4 linked regions of the Schizosaccharomyces pombe genome follow. Changing the gene in region 1 together with any one later gene gives a genetic interaction. Each region holds a gene or a part of one and is shown in the gene's direction. Other genes may lie near its edges.

Region 1 (5,924 bases):
CACAAACAATTGAGAAACAAACAGAAATTGTTTACACAGTTTCGCTGTTTTCAAAATATAACCACGGGTAAGTAATACAGTTGGCATACAACATTTGGGTAACCTACCATAATTATCAATTGAGCGCAAGAATGGCTTGGATACTGACTCAACCCCAGTCTACTGAATCGACGATGTTTGGAAAATCGAATGAAACCAGCAAAACCGATCCTTCACCTTTAACTATCGGTAATCCAAGTTTGATTATCGAGCAAAGATGTGGTTGGTGCTTGGACAGATGGATCTACTTGATTGCTTGATATTTTTCGGTGTCAGTTCGTTACGCTAAAATGACTAAGAAAAATGAACACAGCCTCGATAAACAAATATCATCAGTGCGATCCAACAGCGGTATTTGTCTGAGTTTCTGGTTTACATTCCGAGCCACATGAAAGATAGGCGTTACAGGGCTCGGGAATGCAGCCGAAGCCGTTCAAAGTTGTCAATAAAGAACGTTTGGTAGAAGTGTCCAACAGCAACGAAGTGTTGATGACTTGTTGCCAATGATGAATTTCTTCACTATTGAGTTGGACTTTGGAATGTGAGTGGTCGTACCAACAACTACGGGTATATGGCCTTATTGCAGTGTAAGATTATCTCATTGTCATACAAAGTGGGCAACTTCATACGCAAGGCGTGGGTTTCATGAACACACAAAACGAATCGAGATGATCATCGTTGGATACTCGCTTGATGCAGCTGCTAACGGAGATGCACAAAGCAATCGAACTTTACCATGACATATCCGAAACATGCTAAGATCTTGTTGATGCATTCGTTGACGTTTTTTCAAGATGTTTCGTAATTTCTATACCCCCGGGTGGAGTGGAGCTGCACTTACGAAAGGATAAGTTGAAGGCTGATTTTTCACATCCCTTCTTTGCAAAAGTTTCCAAAGATGAAAAGTGGAGATGCTATTACGCTAGCACAATATTCATCATCATCTGATCTGTTGTATAAAACTTTTTCATTTCATAACTTATGAAGTCAATAATAGTTTTTGAAAATGGGATTTCCTAATTTAGTCAATTTTGTGTTCCACGTTGCACGATGGTTAAAAACGGTAATTTACACTACTGCAACATAAGAAGGACTTGTAAGATATAGACATTAAAAAATAACCTCCCAAGGCGAGACTCGAACTCGCAACCTTCTGATGACCATCATAAGAGTCAGACGCTCTAAACCGATTGAGCCACTCGGGACTTGCTTGTATTGTGTTAAATTATGTACAATTATATAATAAAGTCTTTAAACAATGAAAGGCATTGAAGGTGTTCAGCTTGAATGAATTCTTTTTAGTATGTTCATTGATCTCGAAAGAAAAAAGAAATGAAATGAAAAACTCAAGGTTTGTAAGTATAACTTTTTTGGTTTTGAAAACGCTTGAATATGATGTTGAACATTGATAGCAGGGTAACCAGTATATGTAAATATAAATGCATCTTGAAAAACCTGTATAAGAAGTGCAAGTGGGTTAAAATACATTGATTTGAGTATATAAAGAATTTCTTAATGTTTTGGCAAATTCGAAGACTTTTCCTTTCTTAGCTTTTAACAATGACTATTTCTTTCCTCCCAAGTTCTTTGTTGATGTTTCTTTGTTCGCCAAGAGAATTTTCTTTGTCAAAATCTTTGATCTTTTAAAGAAAGTGTGCATATACATAATCACCAACTCAGTTCAAAATACAATTTGAATTTCATACTAAAGTATGCCCAATGATTTTAAAAGTCATTAGTTTTTTTCCAAAGTACGATCTCTTACGAATACCTGTAAGAAAATTAATATTATACATCAGCCTCGATTTAATTATGTTTTGGATGCAGCTTTAGTTTTTAATTATATTCATCAAGTGCAAAATTGCAAATCACTAACATACTTGCAAGCGTTTTTTCTGCCATGAAGAATCGGGATGTATATGTTCTACATCAATTACTTATCTTAGTGTGAAATGCAAATTTATATGCAGTTATTTTGTTCTGAATATTTATTATATGCTACCATCATCAATGTGATCAAGTCATTAAAAAATTTATTTACAGGCTCTAACATTTGTATCATTTCTAAAGTCCAGATCAAGCGACCTCGGAAGAAATTTTTTCTTAATTACTCAATTGCTGTCACTGGATAGGTTTGATATGATACTTTACTTTTGATCTTAGATTTCCAGACTCGCAACAATTTCTAAAAAATTGGGTAGTAAACACACACATGTAGGCTGGAAATATTAAACACTAGCAAGATGCATCCTTCCAACATTTTACATAAAATATTTCAATGTCAAAAGTTAAATATTTTGCAAAGTTACTCTCTCTATTTCAAGCAGAACCTTTCAAGCTGGTATTAAAAGTTTAAAACAAACATTAACAATGTGAAAAACAGTTTCATGTAATTAGCTTTATACTATTCTTTAGTTCTAACATATCTATTTCGCTCCTATCGGAAGTCATAGACTTTTGGAATTTCTTAGCAAAGCACTAAATTGTTGGCTACATGAACCTCACCCAGAACCTCGTTCATACCAAAAACTCCTCCATTTTTTCTCAACATTCCAATAAAATTGGATTATATAATTTCTTCATTGAACATTTTATTTCTTTTTTGTTTGAAACCTATCAATTACTGGTCATTTTGACATATGCGTTTTGACATTTGATTTACTACAATATTTTGTTATACATGTCCTCCGTAAAGAATTGATTATATTCATAAAGGTTTAATTGTTTCTATGAATTATTTATACCAAAAATTTCCTTTATATGCAAGAAACCGCTATCGTTACGTTGAAGAATTAAATTAATATTAACTTTCCTCCCTTCTTCTCATCGTCTTTCCACTTTAAAAATGGATAATATAGGTGCTGCCGATGCAGCGACGTCTTCTGGCATTTCTGGGTTACTAAGTGGAAATTCATTTTTAGGTGCTGGTATTGGTTTAATGGGTTTCGGTGCTGGGCTAGCCATATTACGTCGTGGGCTTATTTCAGGAGCAAGCTTAGTAAAAAGAAGGATGCTAGTGTCTGTCGAAATTCCAAGCAAAGAAAAAAGTTATAATGCCTTTTTGCATTGGATGAGCACGGTGCCTAAACGCTATTCAAATCAGCTGGCTGTTGAAAGCAACAGACAACTCAAAATGCCGCAAAATGCTAGGGAAAAACCTGACAAGCAAGTTGCAAATCGTATATTCAGCCTCGTTCCAGGTCCTGGAAAGCATTACATAAAGTACAAAAAGTGTTGGATTCAAGTAGAACGAGAGCGTAGCAATCGTCTGCAAGATTTAACAACTGGAACACCTTGGGAGACAATTACTCTTACCACTCTTTCAAGAGATCGTGGAATTTTTTCCGAACTTTTATTAGAAGCTCAAAAATTCATGCAAAGTGCTCAAAAAAACAAGACTACTATATACACGGCTTGGGCCACTGAATGGAAGCCTTTCGGGCACCCTAGATCAAAAAGGATGCTTTCTAGTGTTGTACTTGAAAGCAATGTTAAAAAAATGATTACAGACGACGTTCATGACTTTTTACGAAATTCACAATGGTATGATACAAGAGGAATTCCATATAGAAGAGGCTATCTTCTTTATGGACCTCCTGGAAGTGGAAAAACCTCATTTTTATATGCTCTTGCAGGTGAATTGGACTACGACATATGCGTTCTAAACTTGGCTGAAAAAGGCTTAACTGACGATCGTCTCAACCATCTACTTTCTAATGTACCTCCCAAGGCAGTAGTTTTACTGGAGGATGTTGATTCTGCATTTCAAGGTAGGGAACGATCTGGGGAAGTTGGGTTTCATGCCAATGTTACATTTAGTGGGTTGTTAAATGCACTCGACGGTGTCACTTCATCAGACGAAAGGATTATATTTATGACAACTAATCATCCTGAAAAGCTTGATCCAGCTCTCGTTCGTCCGGGCCGCGTTGACGTTAAAGCATATCTTGGAAATGCTACACCTGAACAAGTTCGCGAAATGTTTACTCGCTTTTACGGTCACTCCCCAGAGATGGCTGACGATTTAAGTGATATAGTGTGTCCAAAAAATACAAGTATGGCTTCATTGCAGGGTCTTTTTGTAATGAATAAGAGCTCACCTGCTGATGCTGTTGATATGGCTAAAGAGCTTCCTGATAATCCTCCTAGTACACCTTTCTCCTTTAACGTACACAGAAAGTCTTTGTCTGTATGAAATCCCTTAGATTTATTTAACTTAAAATGTTATTCGTTTCGTAATAAGCTCTACTTATCAATCTTGACCACAAAAAAAAGACATCTTGGTAGAAACATATATTGTACGCGATTAATCTATGAATAATTAATGAATTTAAAAAATGGTTAAAAAATAACTAGTCCGTATTTTCTATTCTAAAAGACAGGCATGCATAAGATAATTATTCAAATGCATGTTCTCAATAAAAAGCTGCAAGCTGTTGAAATTCTTTTTCCATATGTTTAAGAAAGTAAAATCCAATAAAATTCCAATTGTAATCTTAAATTATTTTACGTGATGCATAGCTGAATTCGCAAAGTACTAATCCTACTTACTGCACATCTTACTTCTTTAAAGTTGCATAAAACTTGTGTCCTAAAAGAAAAGTGAGTTGTACGGCATCTCTTTATTACAAAAAATGGTTAAAAATTTGCTCTTGGATATTGAAGGGACTGTGGGTAGCATTTCATTTGTCAAAGACAAATTGGTAAGTGAAGTTTTTTATTGAGAACAATGTAGATCGTGTTTAACCCATGCTAGTTTCCATACGCTGCTTCAAGATACGAAAGTTATGTTAATGAAAATTATGAAAGTGATGAAAACTTGCGAGAACTTGGAAAAACGCCTGAAGAGGCCTTGATAAATTTACGAAAGTTGCATGCTGAAGGAAGCAAAGAACGTTCCTTCAAAATGGTCCAAGGTCGTATTTGGAAAAAAGGTTATGAAAGTAATGAACTAACTTCACACTTGTTCCCCGATGTTGTTCCTGCTATTCAACGTAGTTTGCAATTGGGAATGCGTGTTTACATTTACTCCAGTGGGAGTGTTCCAGCTCAGAAATTGTATTTCGAGCATTCAGATGCTGGAAACCTTCTAAAGTATTTCTCTGGATATTACGATACTACTATAGGGCTTAAAACTGAGTGTGGCAGTTATGTGAAAATTGTGGGAAACTCAAATCCTAGAGAATGGCTCTTCTTGAGTGACAATATCAACGAGTTGAAAGCTGCAAGAAAAGTCGGGTTGCACACCGGTTTGGTGGTTCGTCCTGGCAATGATCCTGTTGTAGACACCAGTGGATTCCCCGTGTACAATAGTTTTGAAATTTTGTTCACGGAATAAAGCAATGGTGAACCCTAACGACCGTTTCGCTTAGAACAAAGTAATGAGTTTCTTTAAAGGACATGAGTTCTTTAAAAGAATTTTGATTCTCTTGTGCTCTCATTTTCTATTTCTTTGTGTTTTTTTTTTCATGATTTCTTTGAATACATCCGAAAATTAGTCAACGCAATTTCTTCTCTTAAAATATATTGAATTATTATAATTTTTTTAACCCAATGGATTTTTGAATTGTTTCAGAAACCTTTTTTAACTATGAAACTTTTTTACCATGATTGAATATTTGTATCAATTATCTAAACATTGAGTAAAACACTCTTGTAAACTCTCCATTCGTTCAATCAACTATTTGAACTGAATTTTTTTTTTTTTTTTGATAAAATAGAAAAAGAGCGTTCTTGTTTAATATTTTCCTCTCCTGTGTACTCATTGTAAAGAAGAGAGGTTTGTCAATCAACATGGGTTACAATTCGTCGGTTTTGTAGCCAAATTAACATTAATCCTTTATTAGTGATTTCTTTTTAAATGTTTCTTAGCCATTAATGTTTAT
Region 2 (5,119 bases), on another chromosome or scaffold:
AATGGGTTTTCTGCACCAAGGTGCATAACTGAGAATAAAAATAACACAATTGCCGAACAGTATAAAATTTCAAACTCCAAATAAAAACACTTGTCCATCTGACCAGCAGATAACAATTTCGATGATAACTGAACAATTGCCTTTGCAGACTCATAGCAGGTTTCCAAATTGGAAAACACATCTTCCAAGCTTGGTTTATTGTTAAGGCCTTTCGTAAATGAAGAAGGTTTAACAGAATACCAATTATTTAAATAGAAAAACATAATGGGACAACTTACCTTGACAATTAGGTAGTGATAAAATAAATGTAAGCTAACGTTGGAATGAAAAAGGAGATCTGAAGTGTCATTCGTTCCATTAAGCTGTTGATGGGTTAAGTTTAACTTCCAATTACGAGCTTGGGAGTAGATTCTTTCAACTTTTAATAGTAATTTAGGAAAATTTGAGACATCCATCAAATAATCAGAACTTGATTCATACAGTGAATTTAGAGACCGTACGGAGATCTCAGCGTATTTTATTATAGCGACAAAATGAAAAACGGATGAAGGTAAATGTCGAGCCTCCAGCTCCGGGACAACGGTAGGAAGTTTTAAAGAATTCAGACCATTTGGAAATAAATTTATGATAGGAGTAATTCCAGACTGTATGTACAAAAAACTGGCTAAAACACGTAAGGACCAGCATATGCGAATACTAGTCTCCTCAGTTGAAACTTCATTTAATGTGCTGTTATCAGTTGAACCATGCTCCAAACCAAGGGTATGCGCGGAATGTATTGCAAAACCTAAATAAGAATATGCACATTTAAAATTTCCAGTTAAAAAATGATATAGTGAAAGTAAAAAGACAGCTTGAATAGAAGAAAGGGTACAGCGATTTAATAAAGAGCTAATTAATTGCTCTGAAATCTGTATCATTGAATCAATATGACTAAGCTGAACTTCCTTGGGCAATACATTAATGTTGTTATTTGAGAAGTGACCAAGCACAACAATTAAAAGAGCAACAGCAAGAAATCCTGTATCCAACGTATCTGAGTTAACTAAACCATCTGCAAGGATTTGGTAACGGTTAGAAAAAACAGATGGAGGATAAAAGTAAAAAAAACTTTGATACCGGAGGAAAAACTCATTTGCATAACGTTCTGCGACAGAAACCGGTGGTAACAAATTATGTGCTATTTTCTTTAGAGCTTTTAATGAAAAAGATGAGTGATTGGAGGTCAAATTTATAATTGAATATTCATGAGTTCCTTGTGAAGAAGCTGAACCTACAGATACTGAAGTAGGGGTCGATTGAAGTGTGTTTAGTTCTAAAGGCAATAAAGAGGAAGAGAGATCCTCCGGAATTTTACTTTGATAGTCAATGAGCAGTGATTCTGGGGTATTGCTTGAATTTAACTGTAAGGATGCTAAAACAGAATTTAAAAAATAAGTGCTTGACGTCGGACTTAAATATATGGGTTCTCCTAGAGCATCTAAGAATGAACGTACAGGAAGTATGGGTTGGGAATTGATTATTAAATTATTGGCACTTCTAATAACCTTATCTTGGTTCACATGAATTGCATTAGCAGATATATTTTCAGTAAACTTGATGGAAGTATTAAGATCAGTGTTTTGAATAGATGAGAAATTTGAATCCGAAGAGGGGGGAGTAGATGAAGAAGGAAAAGAAACGTTTGCTGACTTGACAGCAGACGAATCGTCTTTATTGTTTGTAGCAGCAACCTTTAAAACAGATTGATCAATTGACCCGGGTATTAGCAAAGAACGAACGTCGCTTCCAGAAGCTAATGAAGATTCGACATGTTTGCATAGTTTGACTAAACTACGTGTGTCATGAGGAAGAGAAGGACACAGCAATTCCATCAGATATTCGAAGCATTTCTGCCTTTGACTCAGTTCCGCAATAAATTGTTTTGAGGGAGTACGCTCTTTTAAAGAATCAGCATACTTACATTGCGAAGGCGTAGCAATGCAAGCCTGACATGGTTCAGAACCACTGCATCGAATTTTCTTGGCCCGACAAGACAGACATGCCCGCCTTACTCTTCTTCTACTGTCCAAAGGAACACGCCTTCTTTGTTTATACTCTTCCTCTTTGGCTTCTAAAAACAAAGAACGACTAGAAAAGTCAGAGGGACACATAAACTTCGCATAATAACAATTGCTACATTTAAGATTTTCATATAGGTAAATCAATTTCGCTGTCGGTCACAGGTACCCGAAGGTGGTAAGTAGCAATGCTACTTCAATTTTAAATAGTATGCATCAGCAAAATTAAATTTGCTAGTAAGCTCTGTCAAGTCCCCAGGTTAATATAAATGTATTAAATGCAGTAAAAAAATTTATTGTTTAAATGAATATGTTAATGACAACGATTAATTGACTGTAATTTGGTAGTATACAGTTTTGATCAATTTTATAAAACATGGTATTTACACAGTGTTTTTTGGTATCAGTTTATTTGTTTATTGAGAATATCAAAGACAGTTAAATTAAATAATAATAATTCATAAAAGTTAATGAAATTCAAACATTTGTTTCCTAAGTTTTTTTCATTACTAATGCAAAAAAAGTTGAATATATATATTTTTCTTTAAAAAAAATTGGATTACATCAACGTACCAACTAAAATTGTGTCAATCTTATCGAACTAGCAAACTGGCAGTAAACTTCTTGAAAGCGTTACGGTCAATCTTTTGAACTTGAAATCACTCTTAAAAAGACTTTCATTCTTGTTGTTTACGAACCTAATAACCAATACCATAAAATATCAAGCAAATATGGTAAAAAATATCGAATTCCCAAAATGCGTTGTTTTTGACTTAGACTACACTCTGTGGCCTCTTTGGATAGATACCCATGGTATTAAATCTTTTACTTTGATCTACTTTATGTTTTATTTTCTAACAAAGTTTCACAGTCACTGCACCATTTAAGCCTTCCAAAAATGACCCAGGCGTTTTGATTGACAAATATGGCACAGAGATTTGTTTTTACTCAGATATAACTGGAATTTTACAAGAGCTAAGGAACCAAAAAGTTACTTTGTGCGTTGCTAGCCGTACTTGTGCTCCCAAGTATGCGAAACAAGCATTGAATTTGATGAAGGTACCAATAGATGGAAGTCTTAAGCCGGCTATCGAATTTTTCACTTATGTAAAAGCTTGGCCAGGTATGTCTTTTAATACATTTTTGTCAATACAGAAAATATCAATAATCATATTGCTAACTAGTTATTGTGAAATAGGTAGTAAAATGGATCACTTCAAAGAGATCCACAACGAATCTGGAATTGACTATCGAGAAATGGTGTTTTTTGATGATGAGTCTAGGAACAGAGAGGTTGAAAGACTTGGTGTTACATTCTGTTTAGTTCCTGATGGCCTTAATCGTGCGTCCTTTGAGCAAGGTATAAACAAGTGGAGAAAATTAAAAAAAACTCACTAAATATTCTTTCATTTCTAAAAAATCATATGCATGGTTAATTTTTCTTTTGAAAGAAAAGTTAATCAATTTTGCTTGCATCTTAAGAAAACAACTATCGTGCTTTAACTTATATTTAGAAGTCTCTATTCGAATTGAGATGTATTTTGTTTAATCACAGTATCATTGTTAAAATTGGGAAACACTGATACTACTTTTAATGGGTGAAGAATCAAATTTAGAAATTAAATCTATTAAAGACCTAAATTGCTTCAATCTGTAATATGGGGTTTCTTATGAACTTTCTCTTTTCTTTTTGCAAACTAAGTAAGTATCATATAAATAAATAACAAAAATATATACAAACGGTATAATGTCATATGAGCATAGTTGCAAACCGGTTTAGGAAAACAAAGAACATAACAGAGTAGTTTAATTGATTAATATAATGAATTTTATAAAAATTCTTAAAAAAAATTACATCACTATACACTTACTTTTCTCAAGTAAATATATAATTTTGAAATTATATCTCCATTACATGTTTGTCTAGAAGCATTGCAATATATATAAATCGAAGAAGAAGCAATGTTAAAGTTACAAAGTACGCTCAGTATCCTTTTCAGTCATGTTGCACCAGGCAGCCATTGCGCATTGTTCCGGATATTTCTTTGCTAAAATACTAGAAATACGGCCTAGTGAGGAAAACAGTAAATCAGTACATTCCTCATTAGCATACCTCTTTGACATGTTTTCCATATATGATGTTACGGTATCCAAGTCTTCAGGCCACAAAAAGTTATCATCTTTGCGATAGGATTCCATAGAAGGGTGTGTCAAAAGAAACGATCCGACATGTTCGTTTACGATGTTCATAACTGAACATGCGATTTTGGAAGCGGGAAATTTGAATAAATTAGGTACAAACATTGATGCATCAAGTACTAAGAAAAAAATCGGGTCTAAAACAGGAATATACGAAGCTGGTGTAGGGATTGAGATATCCCAATCAAGAGTATCAAGTATGTGGCGTTCCATACGAATAAATAAATCCTCAGCATAGATGTTTTTACAAGCTAACTTCAGTTCTTGCAATAATGGAACACGGTCTTCTGTTTCATGAAATTTACTGGCAATCCAAAGACAAACACATGCTACTAACTGAATGTGTTTGCAGTATACCACTCTCCTCGAGACATATGAATCCATGAGGGAAATACTAAGCGGAAGAGTATCAATAGACAAGTCGAATCCATTATGTATTTCTACAATAAAATTAACGAGTGCAGGTCGCATTGACCATCTGAGTTCCGGTTGCTGATTAGAAAGATGGACATTCAGCAAAAAATTTTTCTCTCTAGTAATCAGATGATGGATAATGTCTTCCTGGTACTCACCTAAATACCCGTTCATTGATAAACCAGTGAGTAAAGAGGATTGAGTGTTATAAAGTAAGGCGCTAGATTCCGCTGACAATGTGCTAACAGAGTCGACAACAAATGCAGTCTCATTTTTAAGAGAGGGAGATTTGGAATTAACGCCTTTTGGTGAAACAGCTAAAGAGCAAGGGCCCACTGATAGAGAATATGAACAGGCAGCTAATATTTTAGGTTCTATACTTGAAGATGAAGTGGGAGTATGAGCAGTAAGTTGTTCCTCATTGGAAGAAACTAACATACTGGGTA
Region 3 (6,211 bases), 1.9 Mb from region 1:
GAAGCGATTCATTTGCCGAACAATTAAACCAACGTGAAATGAAAGGTTTTAATGATGGTTTCCTGGAATGATAATCTGGAATACCAATTATTGTAAACGTTGGAGGGATTTTATCACTATATACAGATGTATATTCTGAAGTAACTCCAATCAAAAGCTGTTCCCAAGGTTTGCGCATGTTTGAATAAACATCAAATAATGGTTCGCCAAATGCCGTTATTTTAAGCCATGTCCATGTAGAGACAAGCGTTAAATTCCATTTTTTAAAAAGCACTTTTTTAACAAAATTTACATACTTTTCCTTATTTGTGCACCAAACTGCCACGACGCCGGTTTTGCTTAACGATTCCTGAATTGGTAATGCTTTTAAATATCCAAGGTTCCTGTTCACCTTATAGACAGAGCTCCTAGCTACAGATTTATTCGGCCATGGAGGGTCTATAATTATGCATTTGGGTTTTTCTAGATGGCCATCAATTGCTTCTAAAAGGATTTGCGCAGTTTTCTCCACGTCACCCATAATAAAAGAGGAACGAGCAGGGATGTAGTAAATTGAATCCCTACAATTAGTTTCAGACGATTCAGTAATAACCTTTGATCCCTTCAGCTTTAATTTTATAGCGGACGCTCCATCATTTTGGACACATTGTTGATAAATCTCTTCCAATCCAAGTTCAACTGTATCTTTAGACTTTATAGTTATAAATGAATATGACGGTGGAATAGTATTCAACATTTTCAACCATTGCAAGCACTGATCCTCAAACTGTATAACCGGTGCTTTAACTAGTACTTTGAAAATGTCTGAGTACCATTGCACTAAAGGAGCATTTTCAGCTTGAAAATGGATTTCTGATGCACTAGTATTTGACCTGTATACGATATCTTGAAATTGAACATGGTGTGATTTATCGGTTGATTGATTGTCATCCAAACTGCGCAACTGTAAAGCACGACGAACTCGCTGAAGGCTTTGCAGTACTTGCCCTACAGTGCCTTTGCCACTGTTTTCATAATCCGAAGTTGATTTTTCGGGGAGTAAATATGGCTTCACGACAGGCTTCGTTCGAGTGGGCAAAATATGTTTATTAAATTGCAGAGATGTTGGCAAGTCAATGAGACAACTAGTGTCGTCCATGTATAATATACATGGCATTAAAAATTACACGAATACCGAACCTCAAACAATCGTGATAAATGAAATGCACAAGGACACCGCTGAATTTCGTTATAGCAATCTATTAAATTAGTAGCTCAAAAAATAGCTTATGTGCGCTCAACTCAAAATAAGAAGTAGCGAGTTGAGTTAATTAAATTCAGTCGGATAAGAATAATTGAAAATACCGCTCTCGACGCGTGACAAACGTGTATACTTTATCGAAAGTTACTCGATAGGTTTCGTCGTACCCATCAACTGGAGTGCAGTTAAACTTATTATGCTTAATACCAAATATTGAAACAACAAATCTCTATTGATATTTTAAAAACTTCCATTTAATGATATTTTTTAAAACTAATTTACGAAAACCGAATCTAGTTAACGTAGTTCTTTCAAACTAATACGGAAACATTGGTGTGCGATTTTCGATACTCCCCACAATAACATTGAACGATATAAAAAATCCAAGCTATTAAGAAGTACAAATTTTTCTATTGAACGAATTAGGTAATCAAAGCATTCATAGCTTGCAAAAACCAATGTTTTGTGGTTAGTCAGCCTTCAAAATGGTAACAAATTTATATGCTGCCAGTACGAAATATTAATTACATAAGGAAAACGATATGCTTAGTCTTACAAATACACACCTACCTTATCTCGCCTTAACGTCTCCACTATCAAGTAAGCAATTGCTGGTGATGACTAAATATATTTAATAACAAGCATCATAAAGATCGTTAGGATAGGAATCTGCAAAAATCGGAGCGTAAATAAATAAGCAGTTAATGGCGTAATGTTTTCACAAAATGATAACCACACTATTATAAAGCCATTACTTTTTTGACGAGATAGCATCATACAATTTATTGATAGGATTCAAGCAAAGGACCTGCAATCAGTATATAAATACGCTTCGTTTTTATGTTCAATTCGATCTTAAATTTTAGTTTGCCGATTCTATAGAACATTTTGGCATTGGAGTTTATGAATTTTTAAAAAAAACAACGCAGTCCGGCATTCTACGGTATTTGCTTTCGACGTTAATATATATCGAAACGTGGAACCATATTTTATTCACATTAATTTCCTCATCGAACCAACTCCGGTTTATCTCCTCGGACATTTATTAGATGAACCTATTCGGCTCGTGAGATTTGCTATATAAACATTACTAAATTGGGAATTGTCGTTACCAATTTTTTTTGCGATCAGGATCGACATTGGGATGCATAATCGTTTCGCTTCGTTTTAGTTAAACATTTTTTTATTTTGCTTGTATTGCATAGACATTGCGCGATTACAATTTTTTTGGTTGTTTACTTATTTGCGGTGTTTATTTTATTTCTTGTCAGTCATTATCAGGGAAGCGGTATTTGTTTGATTTTCTTTCCCGTCATTATAATCGGTTTCACTTAATTTCTGGATTCGTTTTATTTATTCTCCTTAATTATCACTTAATTCATTAATATATCTTTTTTACTTTTTTTTTGGAAAGAAGCTTTTACAATCACAATTCTTAGAGCAATGGCTGTGATCACGGAAGAGAACTCTAATAATTTATTTTGCACAGATTCATTGGAATTAACCTCGGTATGTTTTCTGCCTTTAATTTTTTTAGTTATCTTTTTTTCTTTAAAAAAAAGAATAGAAAAAAATCCTTATTTTTCTAAATATTCAAATATGGTGTACGCTAACTAATGATATTAGAATAAACAGGATGATCAAGTTATTTCGAATTACTTAAAGCCCGTCCGTTCATACCCCTACATTAAATATTCTCGAAGTAGCTTATTATTAACGGCATCTACAACTTTACCCGAAAACTTTGTGATTTCATTTACCAACTCCATTGAGAGTGAAGAGAGCGATAAATCTGATTACCTTCTCGATCATGCTCATAGCTTACAGGAATTATCGACTACTCACTCATCACTATCAAGCACTTTAACATCTATGTCGGAAGAGTCATCTTCCACAGAATCGAAATTTGCTACCCTTAATGATGGCATAAATGGTGGTAATCCATATAGCAGACTTTATCGAAAAAATCCATCTTCTGATCCAAACGATATCCCACCTCAGTTTCACTTTAAAAAGAAGTCTAAATCATTTTATAGTAGCATGTATGATAAGATGAAGATCAGAATTAATATCCTTCCGAACGGAAACGACAATTTTATAAAAAAACGGAACTCCGGCTTCGCTCTGGCGCCTATTGCTTGCTACAATCATACTTCTGATCTTCGAAAATTGCTGAAACACAAAGTAACTGGTAGCAATGCTAGCATCTTTAAGAGAATCAACCCGAGATCAAGAAAGAGAGTTGTAAACCCGGAATGTTCCGTAACTGATACACCTTATGGAAAGTTAAATAATGTCATTGGGGAGGGAGCGAGCTCTTTCATTCGGGTCATTAATGATCGAAACAAATTGCCAATTTACGTTGCCAAAGTATTTCGTCCTCCATTAGATACCTCATTACTGCGCAGGTATGTACGTTATTTCATTGCAGAGTACACTTTTGCGTCGACACTCAGGCATCCCAATATCATCAAGGTATTAGACATTATATACAAAAGGCATACTATTTTACAAATAATTGAGTATGTTCCTTATGATCTTTTTACCTTTATTACCAAAGGTCATTGCTCTGCTTTAAAAGCTGATCAAATGTTTTTTCAATTGTTAGATGGCGTGGCTTATATGCATTCCCTTGGCATTGCTCATCGTGATATAAAATTAGATAATATTATGCTCGATGAAAATTTAAATGTTAAGATTATTGATTTTGGTACTGCTTTTGTTTTTCATTATCCATTTGAATCAACCACTCTGATGTCTGATGGTGTAGTCGGTTCAAAACCATATGTTGCTCCCGAAGTTCTTACTCAGAAACCATATGATCCGAGCGCTGTAGATGTTTGGTCTTGTGCAATTGTTTACTGTTGTATTGCTTTAAAGAGATTTCCATGGAAAGTGCCGCATACATCGGATAAACGTTTTAATTTATACGTTACTCAACGAAATGACCCTAACACGAAAAGCCAATTGATAGAATCTTTACCGATGAACTCAAGAGATACGATTTATCATATGCTGGACATTGATTTTAATACAAGATGTAGCATTTCGGGAGCACGAAGCACTACATGGATGCAACAAGTTCGGAAAACTCTAATCTAAGGAGAATTTGTCTACTTTAGAGATTTTTATCTATTTATTTTTTTTATGATGTTAAGGATTATGAAGTCCCTTTAATGATCGCTATTAACTTATAAAGGGCAAGGACGTTGAAGTGTTCACTTGTAGACGCTTTACTTCATCGTGAACTTGAGCAAATCTATTACTAAGAGCCATGAATAATTTGTGCTCCTCTTTGATAGTTTTCAGTAATGCTAGATAGTTAATACAAGTTTTACAAATTAAAGGCATACCCTCGGGACTATTATTCTGTGGCGTAGTCTCAACTTGCTCCAAATGTTGTTCAAGTTCACCAATAGTGGCAGCATACAGATCTGTACGTTTCTTAGCGTTTTCTGTAAATTGCTCAAAGTAGTTCATTAGGGGATCGTTTGACGCGAAGGGATAGGTTGCGCCAGGTGTTTTAAAAACGTCCAAAATACGTGAACTAATGCGAGCATTCGAAGTATCTTCGTCAACTACACGCTTCGTAGTTTCAATTTCGTCGGAATCAATTAAAAGTGCAGTCGAGACAGAAGATAAACGCTTTATTTTAGTTAGAAACAAATAAAACTTGGAGATAATAGAAGGAAATAACTCACTCTCTGTACTTCAGCGACATCATTAGGGACGGATTCAACCAATTCGGAAACAGTCCCCAACTTAGTTTGTAGTTCCTCTGCAAGTTGGATTTGGCTAAAAATTTCTTTGCTACGGACATGATTAGAACAAATTTTGTACATAAGGTAACACATACTCTAAGTCATCTAAAAATTTTTGAGTATTAGCGTTTAAGCTCGAGTATCTCGTCGTTGCATTAATAGCTGGATTAGAAGGGAGTTGCCTGTTTTTTTGTTAATGAAAAAAAAATTTAATAATTAACTTACGTTGTTGACGGTTGCTGCTGAGCTGCAGAAAAGAATGGAGTAGTTTGAGTATTATTGCTTAAACCAAAACCAGTTGAACCAGACGGTTGTGTGGATTGACCAAAAAGGCCAGCGGAAGCTGGTTGTGTAGAAAATTGACCAAAAGTCGAAGTATTAGGGCGGTTTTGATCAAATAGACCTCCTGTAGTTCCGATGTTAGACTGTCCGAAAAGAGAAGTATTTGCTTGAGCAGGCTGTGTTTGCGATTGTGTTTGATTTTGACCAGATAATCCAAATAATCCTCCAGTAGGGGCTGCTTGAGCAGGTTGTGCTTGTGTTTGATTCTGATTGAACAAACCACCAGGTGCTTGAGGTTTAGTAGTGGAAGCTCCAAACAGGCTGCCACCAGGTGCCGCTTGAGGGTTTTGTCCAAACAAATTTAGGCCGGGGGTAGTAGATGTAGCGTTTGGCTTATTTCCAAACAAGCTTCCACCAGTTTGAGGTTTTGTTTGACCAAAAGCTCCTCCTGTTACGCCTCCAAACCCAGTCGAAGCGGGCGTATTGGCCTGCGTATTGTTACCAAAAGTATTAGAAGAAAAAAGTCCTGTGCCTGCAGAAGTACCAGTATCTGAAAAGGTTAATATATGAATAAGCACAAAATTCGAAAAGTAAACTTGAAGACTTGTTCACCTAAAGAAACATACTTTGGTTTTGGGTTCCTGTGGACCCAAATGAGGGTGTTTTATTTAACCCGAACATTGCTTAAAGTATTAATACACGAATGTCCCTAGTGTAAATACCATGCAAAGATTATCATGAAAAACCACTCAGGTTATCTTTTCTAAAAAGGGTAATTGTAGAATCACAATCAATGATTAATATTATAATTAAGCAAAGATGGAAAAGATTAGTTATCTAAAGTTTCAAATTGAACTAGCTTTCAGGGTATCGTATAGTCAAATACTGCTGTGTTCGCAGAGCAAATTCAATTGTTAGTGTTAACTAC
Region 4 (7,255 bases), on another chromosome or scaffold:
TTTAGAAATATTATAAATAGAGTTACAACTGAACTGAGGAACGAGGTTCAGTTATGAGCTATATTAGTGATAGGTAACATTATAATCCAGTTAATACAATACCTATACTCAGTTGCTACTTATACAACCTGTGTATTGTAATATAATAGACCACAAGGAAAACTCACCGCAGCTCTACGTATCCTTAAATCAGATACCAAACTGCGTAGCTTACATTTTATATCAATTAGCAAACTCTAACATATTTTTAGGTACGACTTTATTTTGCACTATTCAGTAAACAACCAAGAAATCATTGTGTGCTTAATGAGTTAAAAAGAAATATCCTATTCACATTGACTGACCAAAATTAAAAATTAATTTAGTAGCTAATAAAGGAGTTTATACGGTCCGAAATGGAATGAGTTAACCATTGTTGAATTTCAGCTTCGTCTGTTGGTCTAATAATTGGTATATCAACCGTTATTGAACTATTTGACTAGGGAAAAAAAAGTAATCATCAACAAATACATTCCCATAACAAACAAAGAATTCTGTTGCTTTCATGATTATCATAAACCGGATCTTTGAAAATTAATCATATGAAACTGCTGATATCCAGAGACTTTAATGTGCTTTCAGCGTATTATACGAATGAGGAGCCAACCCCATAGATGAACAAATAAGAAAACTTTCTTTTAAATAAACATTTGAATATCGTAAACATTTTAACAGCCCTTTAGCAAATGTTTGAAAACATTAAATCACCGCAAAGGGTCTTCCTTTACAGTCCAAAAACTACAACACTCAACGAAAGATGTTTTAAAGGTGTCGACTGGCAATTAAGACAAATTTTTAAAAAGAAATAACGCAAGCAAGGGTGCTTCACGCTATTATGATCTCATTAGTTTTATCAAATTTGACAATTCTAAAGAGGAAGATTATTAGCAGATAGTAATCGAAATACAAACGCTTCTTTCAATATAGAATCGTTTGAATACACATGTAGCATATTAAACCTTTTCCAAAAAATAACGGATAACATTCTCAGCATTGCATTTGTTCAAAACTCATTAGTTTCTATTTAGGATATCTAGTTTGGTAAGTGAGACGAATTGGAAAATGAACATCGAGATTGATGAATTTAGCAGCATACCCCTAATAGCAAATAAGCAATCACAGTACTTATTAAAAACTCTAGTGAATAAACCAGGATTTTCTTGTAAAGTTAGCATTTATCAGAATTTTGAAGAACGAACCAATTTCAATTATAAAATATGCCACGTTTAGCATAACACCAATGACACGCTCCACCAACGGGCATCCCAGTCTCCATTGCTCAAAATGACTTCTAAAAAACATAAGGAGGGGAATGGCAAATGCATTAACAAAAGTCAACTTGAGAATAGCATATAGCATATTTACTCCCCGTTTTTGGGGAAAAGATCTTATACCTGCTCCGCAAGCGACAATAACTTCCTTGATACTCCTGAACCATGTTTCATATGTTGCTATAGAATTAGCAGCTGCATACTGATAGTAATCACATAGTCCACTTACCGAGTAAAAGCCACATCGAAAATATGTTAATTCCACCATTTCCCAATCCAAATAGCACCCGATCTTTAGTTGAAAAGTTTGCAAACACGAGATATTTAAACAAAGCAATATTTATTACGAAAACAGGAAGAAGTACTGCTGGAATTTTTGTCGACCAAGCCGTACGAGTATCAGCAACCTTAGAAGCTTCCATCACTTTATGATCAGCAGGTCTGGAAGTTTTCACTTTTACGTTAAAATTGCTATCTTTTTGAATATGAAGTTCTTTTTCTTCCCAACGAGGGTATTTTTCTTACCTAAAGACTGAGGTATAGTGGCTTCCTCGACCACAGTGTATTGTGAGACCTGAGTTTCGTGCTCGCCTTTTCCACGTTTAGGATTCAATTCATCCAAAGAATCCTTAGCCAAATGATGATTGTTTTCCATAATGAGCGATAAAAAGAGGTTGATCAAAAAATGCGCCGGTTGATATAACTGCGTAAACAAACAAGCAAGGTCCTTTCAAATTATCGCAATTTCAGATCTTACAAAGTTATACTAAGCAGAGAATTACAAAATTGAAAAATTTCGAATCAATTGCTTAAAACAAAGAATATTCAAAAATAGGAACCAAAAAGCTGATTTAGGAGGTAGATTACTTCTAACATCCGCATTTTAAGAAGACTAGCAGTATTCCTAAGTTACATTATATGCTATAACGAACACTTTGAAGCAATCTTATATCTGGAAATGCGAAAAATAATACAGTCAATTGATCGTCAGTAAATGCATTATCGATACAGATTAGTCCTTGCCATGGATTGACTTCTGCAGTATAGGAGAGTTAAGTTAACTCCTATTTAGGAGCTTTTATAACCGTAAATAAAATACTCTTTTAAAACTTTTAAGCTAAAATTTTTCTTTTGTGAAATTATCTGCTAAGGATATCTACCGATTTACAACGTGATACTTATAGATTTCGCTAACAGAAAACTGGTGAACTACTGTAATGTCAACTTCAGTATATCGAATAATACAGTACGTTCCGTATCGTTATATATCACATGTTCTGTTATCTATCCGCTATCTTATGATACAACATAGCACAAAAAGATTTGCTGATTTTTCCAAAAGAAAGTTTTAGATTAATAAACATACTCTAGATAGAGCCTAGCTGGAATTCGTTAGTACAGTTAAGTATTGAGCTTTTTCAGTGATTAGCTGCCAAACGTCCCCTTTGTATAAGAATATCAGCATTACCTGTTACCCATATTACCTGTGTATCAAAATATAATATGTATCAAGCAACCCCACCACCGTTTACCATATCCCTAAATTTGATTGCAACACGCTATTTCCACGGTATAATTGATTGCGCATTACACTAGAATAGCCAATGTTTTTACATCGCTTCCTAAAGCCGCAGTAAAGAGACAATTGGCTTTCCCCCACCTCTCCATATGGAAGAACGAACTACGTAGGATTCACCATTCACACTTATCTGCCCTTCGCCAACAGCTTAAAACCGCAACTGTCTGTTTTGGAAGTAGTAATAGAGGAAAAACTTCAAAATTGAGACTCTTTGATACTCATATTTAAAACCGCAGACATTGATTATCTATACAGTGAAGGGCACGGCTCAAGAGTACCGCCGTAAAACAAGAACGCAAAAGGGGAAGCCTTTACCTAAGAGCTTCGCCGTTTAAGCCTTGGGAAGTATAAACATAGCTTTGACTTACATACATTTTAAAGGAAGTGATAGAAATGTTTTGGAGATTGGGCCAGGGATTTGGATTTCAAAGCTCAAGCGCCATTGAGGCGATTTTGGATAAACCGGAAGATGAGATTAATTTAAAGGAGTTGTTAGAAGAGAATGGGGTTTTGGACGAATGTAAAAGCCACAACCCCAAACTTTTAGAATACCTTTGCAAGCCGGAAGTACTTAGCCAGCTGATTGATTATATTTTGGAGGTTGACGAAACAGAGATACCTTCTGCCGATGGTGGTTATGAAGAGCCGGAACATACCAGACTTTCCTACATAGCGAGTGAAATCCTCAGTAGCGACGTTTGGTCCATCTGTGAGGCTTGTGTGGAAAATAAGACATTGATGGTGAAACTTTGGTCCTTTTTGGATAGCGAGGGCCCATTAAACCCATTGCAAGCATCATACTTTGCAAAGGTCAATGAACATTTTCTGGATAAAAAAACCGAAGAAACGGTTGCCTTTATCCAATCTATTGATAACTTTGTAGAAAAGATCCTCCGTCATGCGGAAACAAGCGCAATCATGGATCTGTTGCTCAAATTCATTTCAATGGATCGTTGCAATACTGCTATTGGAATTGCTGACTGGTTGTATTCGCAGGGATTAATACAATCCTTACTGCGTCTACTTAGCCCATATGTGGATCCCGACGTCCAGTTTACTGTTGCTGATGTTATAAAAGCAATTATCGCTATTTCTGCCAATTCTAATGAACCCGGAGTTATTGGACCTAACTCCCTTTCACGAGAACTAGTATCCAGACAAACAATAACTACACTAACTGATTACATGACCGATTCTAAAGCTCCTCACTCTGCCACTTCTCTTATTAATGGCGTCAGCATCGTAATAGAACTAATTCGTAAGAACAACAGTGACTACGATGTTACACCCGTTTTGCAAATGCCTCTTGACACGCATCCTCCTACTACCCGTGATCCTATTTACCTTGGGACCATGTTGCGTCTTTTCGCCGAAAAAATTCCTGTCTTTCAAAAAATCCTCCTTAAACCTTCCACCGAGTCCGACCTCATGCCCACCAGTTTTGGTAAGATCAAGCCTTTAGGTTTTGAACGTTTCCGAATTTGTGAACTTTACGCCGAGTTGCTTCATTGTAGTAATATGTCCCTTCTTAGCGATCCTAATGGTGAAGCCATGGTAATGCAGCGTGACCATCTTCGTGATTATCTTTTCCGCCATAATAGCTGTGCACGTGATCTTGTCATGAGCGACGAGGACGATGATGATTCTACTTTTTCCGATAAAAATTCTAAAGATTTTAAGGAAACTGAAGACATGAACGGGGCTGAAGATATGCACGGTCGTGCTCCGCAAATCACTAAGGATAACCTTAATTTGACTACTACTGATTCCCCAATGTCCGAGGCTGAACCCGTTAGTGAAGAAGAATACAAGGACGTTATGGAAACCGCTAAAGCACTACACCATGGGGACGATGATGCGGCTTCTGATACTTCTTACGAACCCCTTCCGGAAAGTGTTATTGAGGATGCTAAAAAGCTCCCTGTTATTGGCGATTTTCTAAAGATTGAATTTATTCAAAATAATGTAATTCCGACTATTCTTGATCATTTCTTTGATTATCCTTGGAACAATTTTTTACATAACGTTGTATATGATGTTGTTCAGCAGGTGTTAAATGCTCCTATGGACAAAGATCAAAACTATGCACTTGCCGTCGATATGTTTAAACAAGGGAAAATCACTGAAAAGATTGTGTACGGCCAAGAATTGAATGATAAAAAGGTAGCTAAACCTAGCGGATTTCGGGCTGGATATATGGGTCATCTAACCATAATTGCTGACGAAGTTGTGAAGTTTGTAGAACATTATTCTTCTACCTTTGATCAGGAATTGCTAAATCTTATCAATGACGAAAAATGGCAAAATTTTGTAAATAAGACGTTAGTAGAAACGAGGAACCGTGATAATCAATTATTAGGAGGCTTGGAACCCTCGATGGTGGGCTATTTGGAAGACATGGACGAAGGAGAGATGTTGGACGCCAACAATTTACCTGAAATGCAGTTTGCGCTGGAGCAAGAATTGGAAAGCAATAGCAGTGATGACGATGTCGTGGAAGTTCATCGTGAGCTATCGCATAATTCGTCTTCTAATGACGAAGATGATGGTAATGATGAAGACCCGCTGTCTCGTGAGATGTCGCGACGACTTAGTTTTGAATCAGCTAACGATAGTGATCAAGACAATCGCGATCATTTTGCTCAGTACATGTCTCAGCAAATATCCGATAACAACGCCAATCAATTTAGTAGTTCTGATGAGGACGACGATGACGACGATGAAGTTGTTGAATGGGTTTCGCGCGGAAATGAAAACAAGTATCCGCGATCTAATTTTTTTATTAACGGTTCAGATCGAGAAGACTTTTCAGACAGTGAAGAAGAAGATGGTAATGACAGTTCTGACGATGATCGCGGTTTTGCAGAAGAGGAGTACTCTGATGGTCTGGTTCTCGTAAGTTATAAGTTTGCTAATCCTTGTATGGATATGTATTTTACTAACAGCATATAGAACCATGGTAAATAGTTCTCATTTTCCTCTTAAATTTTTTAATCTTAGCAGATTAGACGTCTGTAACTAATATCTAGAAGTTCGAGTTCAAAATCTTTGCTGAACAGCATTAGAGGCTGGAAACTACTATTTAGTATAGTTTGAAGGATGCGTTACTACGTGAAGTTTTAACAACCTCTAAGATGCATTTTCTTCATCTTTACCTTGTGGTTTCTACTATTTTATTTTAGCTTCGTACTGTTAAAAAGAAAATGTACTAATATTTTGTCATGCATTCACTTCTTCGTTTTAATCGGTTTTTCTCTTCATTCTATTTTATTTCTATCTCTACAATTTCATTTTAAGTCCGTTATGCTATCTGGTTTATAACACAGTTGACAGAAATATGAATTGATCAATATTTTTTACTGATACCAATTCTGCTATGCCATGGTGGAGATAAGACAAACAATTGATAAAACAAGGAAATGCCGTTGTTGAAAAAACGCATTTTTTAATTATCGAGATATCAGTTTCGCAAGCTGTTTCAAGAGTACAATTTCTCTTAATAAAGTAATGTAGATAGCGTTGATTGTACTGTGTAATAGAATTCATAATATTCAAGAGATAAAGACGGAAGGGAATTGTGAAAAGTGTAACAAATGAGTATGACTAAAAATGTAAAGTAGTAATGAACAAGGTCGGGGGATTCTAATTCTGGTAAAGAACAACAGATAAAATACAATGATAAACCATAGACTTCTAAAACACCTAAAAAAAACAATAACTATAAAACGTTGGCAAATTGAAGTAATTGTATCGATTGATCCCTGCATAAATTGATTACAGAAATCACTTCATATTTACAATGCCAACTAATAAACAAACAATGAGTTGAGATTAATAGCGGCGACAAGGCAATACCGATTCTCCAAACATGGGTTCATCGGGTCTCCGAACAACGAAATGCTCATCTAGCCAGTCCATGACACTAGCAAAACTATCTTTCGGTATAGTCATTCTTTCACGCTTAGTAGTCATTTGCCCCATCATGGTAGTCAAATGGTGATAGAATAAATGGAAATTTAGAGAATAGGATGTAGAATACCAAAGAAATCGCTCCACGCAGCCCCAAGGCGTTTCTTCATATCCAGCGAAAAGCGCAGGGTTTTCTAACAAACCACGAGCAGACATGATGCCTTGGGTTTCTGTATATTTAGCAATCTCAAGACCCTTACGGAGACTTTTAACATCACCATTTGCAACGACAGGAATTTGGACACATGGGCGAACTTCTCGAATTGCATCCAAATTGACAGGGAATGAAGAGCGATCTTGCCGAGTGCGACCATGAACAGTAATTATATCAGCTCCAGATTTTTCAATGACTTGCATCAGGTGCCGAGTTTTATTTAAGTCTTTGGCAATTCTTATT

What was found.
Region 2: mutations in bcs1 (region 1) and SPOM_SPBP8B7.31 together harm fitness less than expected from each alone (positive genetic interaction), as found in Schizosaccharomyces pombe (one large-scale study listed by BioGRID).
Region 3: mutations in bcs1 (region 1) and ppk8 together harm fitness less than expected from each alone (positive genetic interaction), as found in Schizosaccharomyces pombe (one large-scale study listed by BioGRID).
Region 4: mutations in bcs1 (region 1) and ekc1 together harm fitness less than expected from each alone (positive genetic interaction), as found in Schizosaccharomyces pombe (one large-scale study listed by BioGRID).

The regions. Positions count from the first base shown.
Region 1 is NC_003424.3:2,683,522-2,689,445, forward strand, and holds bcs1 (iron-sulfur protein assembly ATPase), read left to right. Parts: upstream 1-2,542; 5' UTR 2,543-2,884; coding exon 2,885-4,234; 3' UTR 4,235-4,300; downstream 4,301-5,924. Other genes in the region: utr4 (methionine salvage haloacid dehalogenase-like hydrolase), read left to right, coding at 4,674-4,742, 4,796-5,377.
Region 2 is NC_003423.3:3,695,542-3,700,660, forward strand, and holds SPOM_SPBP8B7.31 (acid phosphatase), read left to right. Parts: upstream 1-2,649; 5' UTR 2,650-2,791; coding exon 2,792-2,873; exon of another isoform or gene 2,874-2,931; coding exon 2,932-3,183; intron 3,184-3,252; exon of another isoform or gene 3,253-3,258; coding exon 3,259-3,378; exon of another isoform or gene 3,379-3,431; coding exon 3,432-3,496; 3' UTR 3,497-3,805; downstream 3,806-5,119. Other genes in the region: DNA-binding transcription factor Thi5, read right to left, coding at 1-2,153; G1 cyclin Puc1, read right to left, coding at 4,032-5,111.
Region 3 is NC_003424.3:747,247-753,457, forward strand, and holds ppk8 (serine/threonine protein kinase Ppk8), read left to right. Parts: upstream 1-2,235; 5' UTR 2,236-2,683; coding exon 2,684-2,749; intron 2,750-2,866; coding exon 2,867-4,342; 3' UTR 4,343-4,426; coding exon of another isoform or gene 4,427-4,554; 3' UTR 4,555-4,593; downstream 4,594-6,211. Other genes in the region: ime4 (mRNA (2'-O-methyladenosine-N(6)-)-methyltransferase), read right to left, coding at 1-1,156; nucleoporin Nup45, read right to left, coding at 4,427-4,554, 4,594-4,885, 4,942-5,050, 5,097-5,183, 5,227-5,833, 5,910-5,964.
Region 4 is NC_003421.2:1,625,148-1,632,402, reverse strand, and holds ekc1 (protein phosphatase regulatory subunit Ekc1), read left to right. Parts: upstream 1-3,028; 5' UTR 3,029-3,282; coding exon 3,283-5,784; intron 5,785-5,841; coding exon 5,842-5,856; 3' UTR 5,857-6,416; downstream 6,417-7,255. Other genes in the region: wtf element Wtf14, read right to left, coding at 1,053-1,072, 1,136-1,198, 1,239-1,490, 1,540-1,764, 1,836-1,965; tRNA dihydrouridine synthase Dus4, read right to left, coding at 6,721-7,255. UniProt on the Schizosaccharomyces pombe protein: Has a role in chromosome segregation. May provide a dynamic connection between kinetochore microtubules and kinetochore chromatin.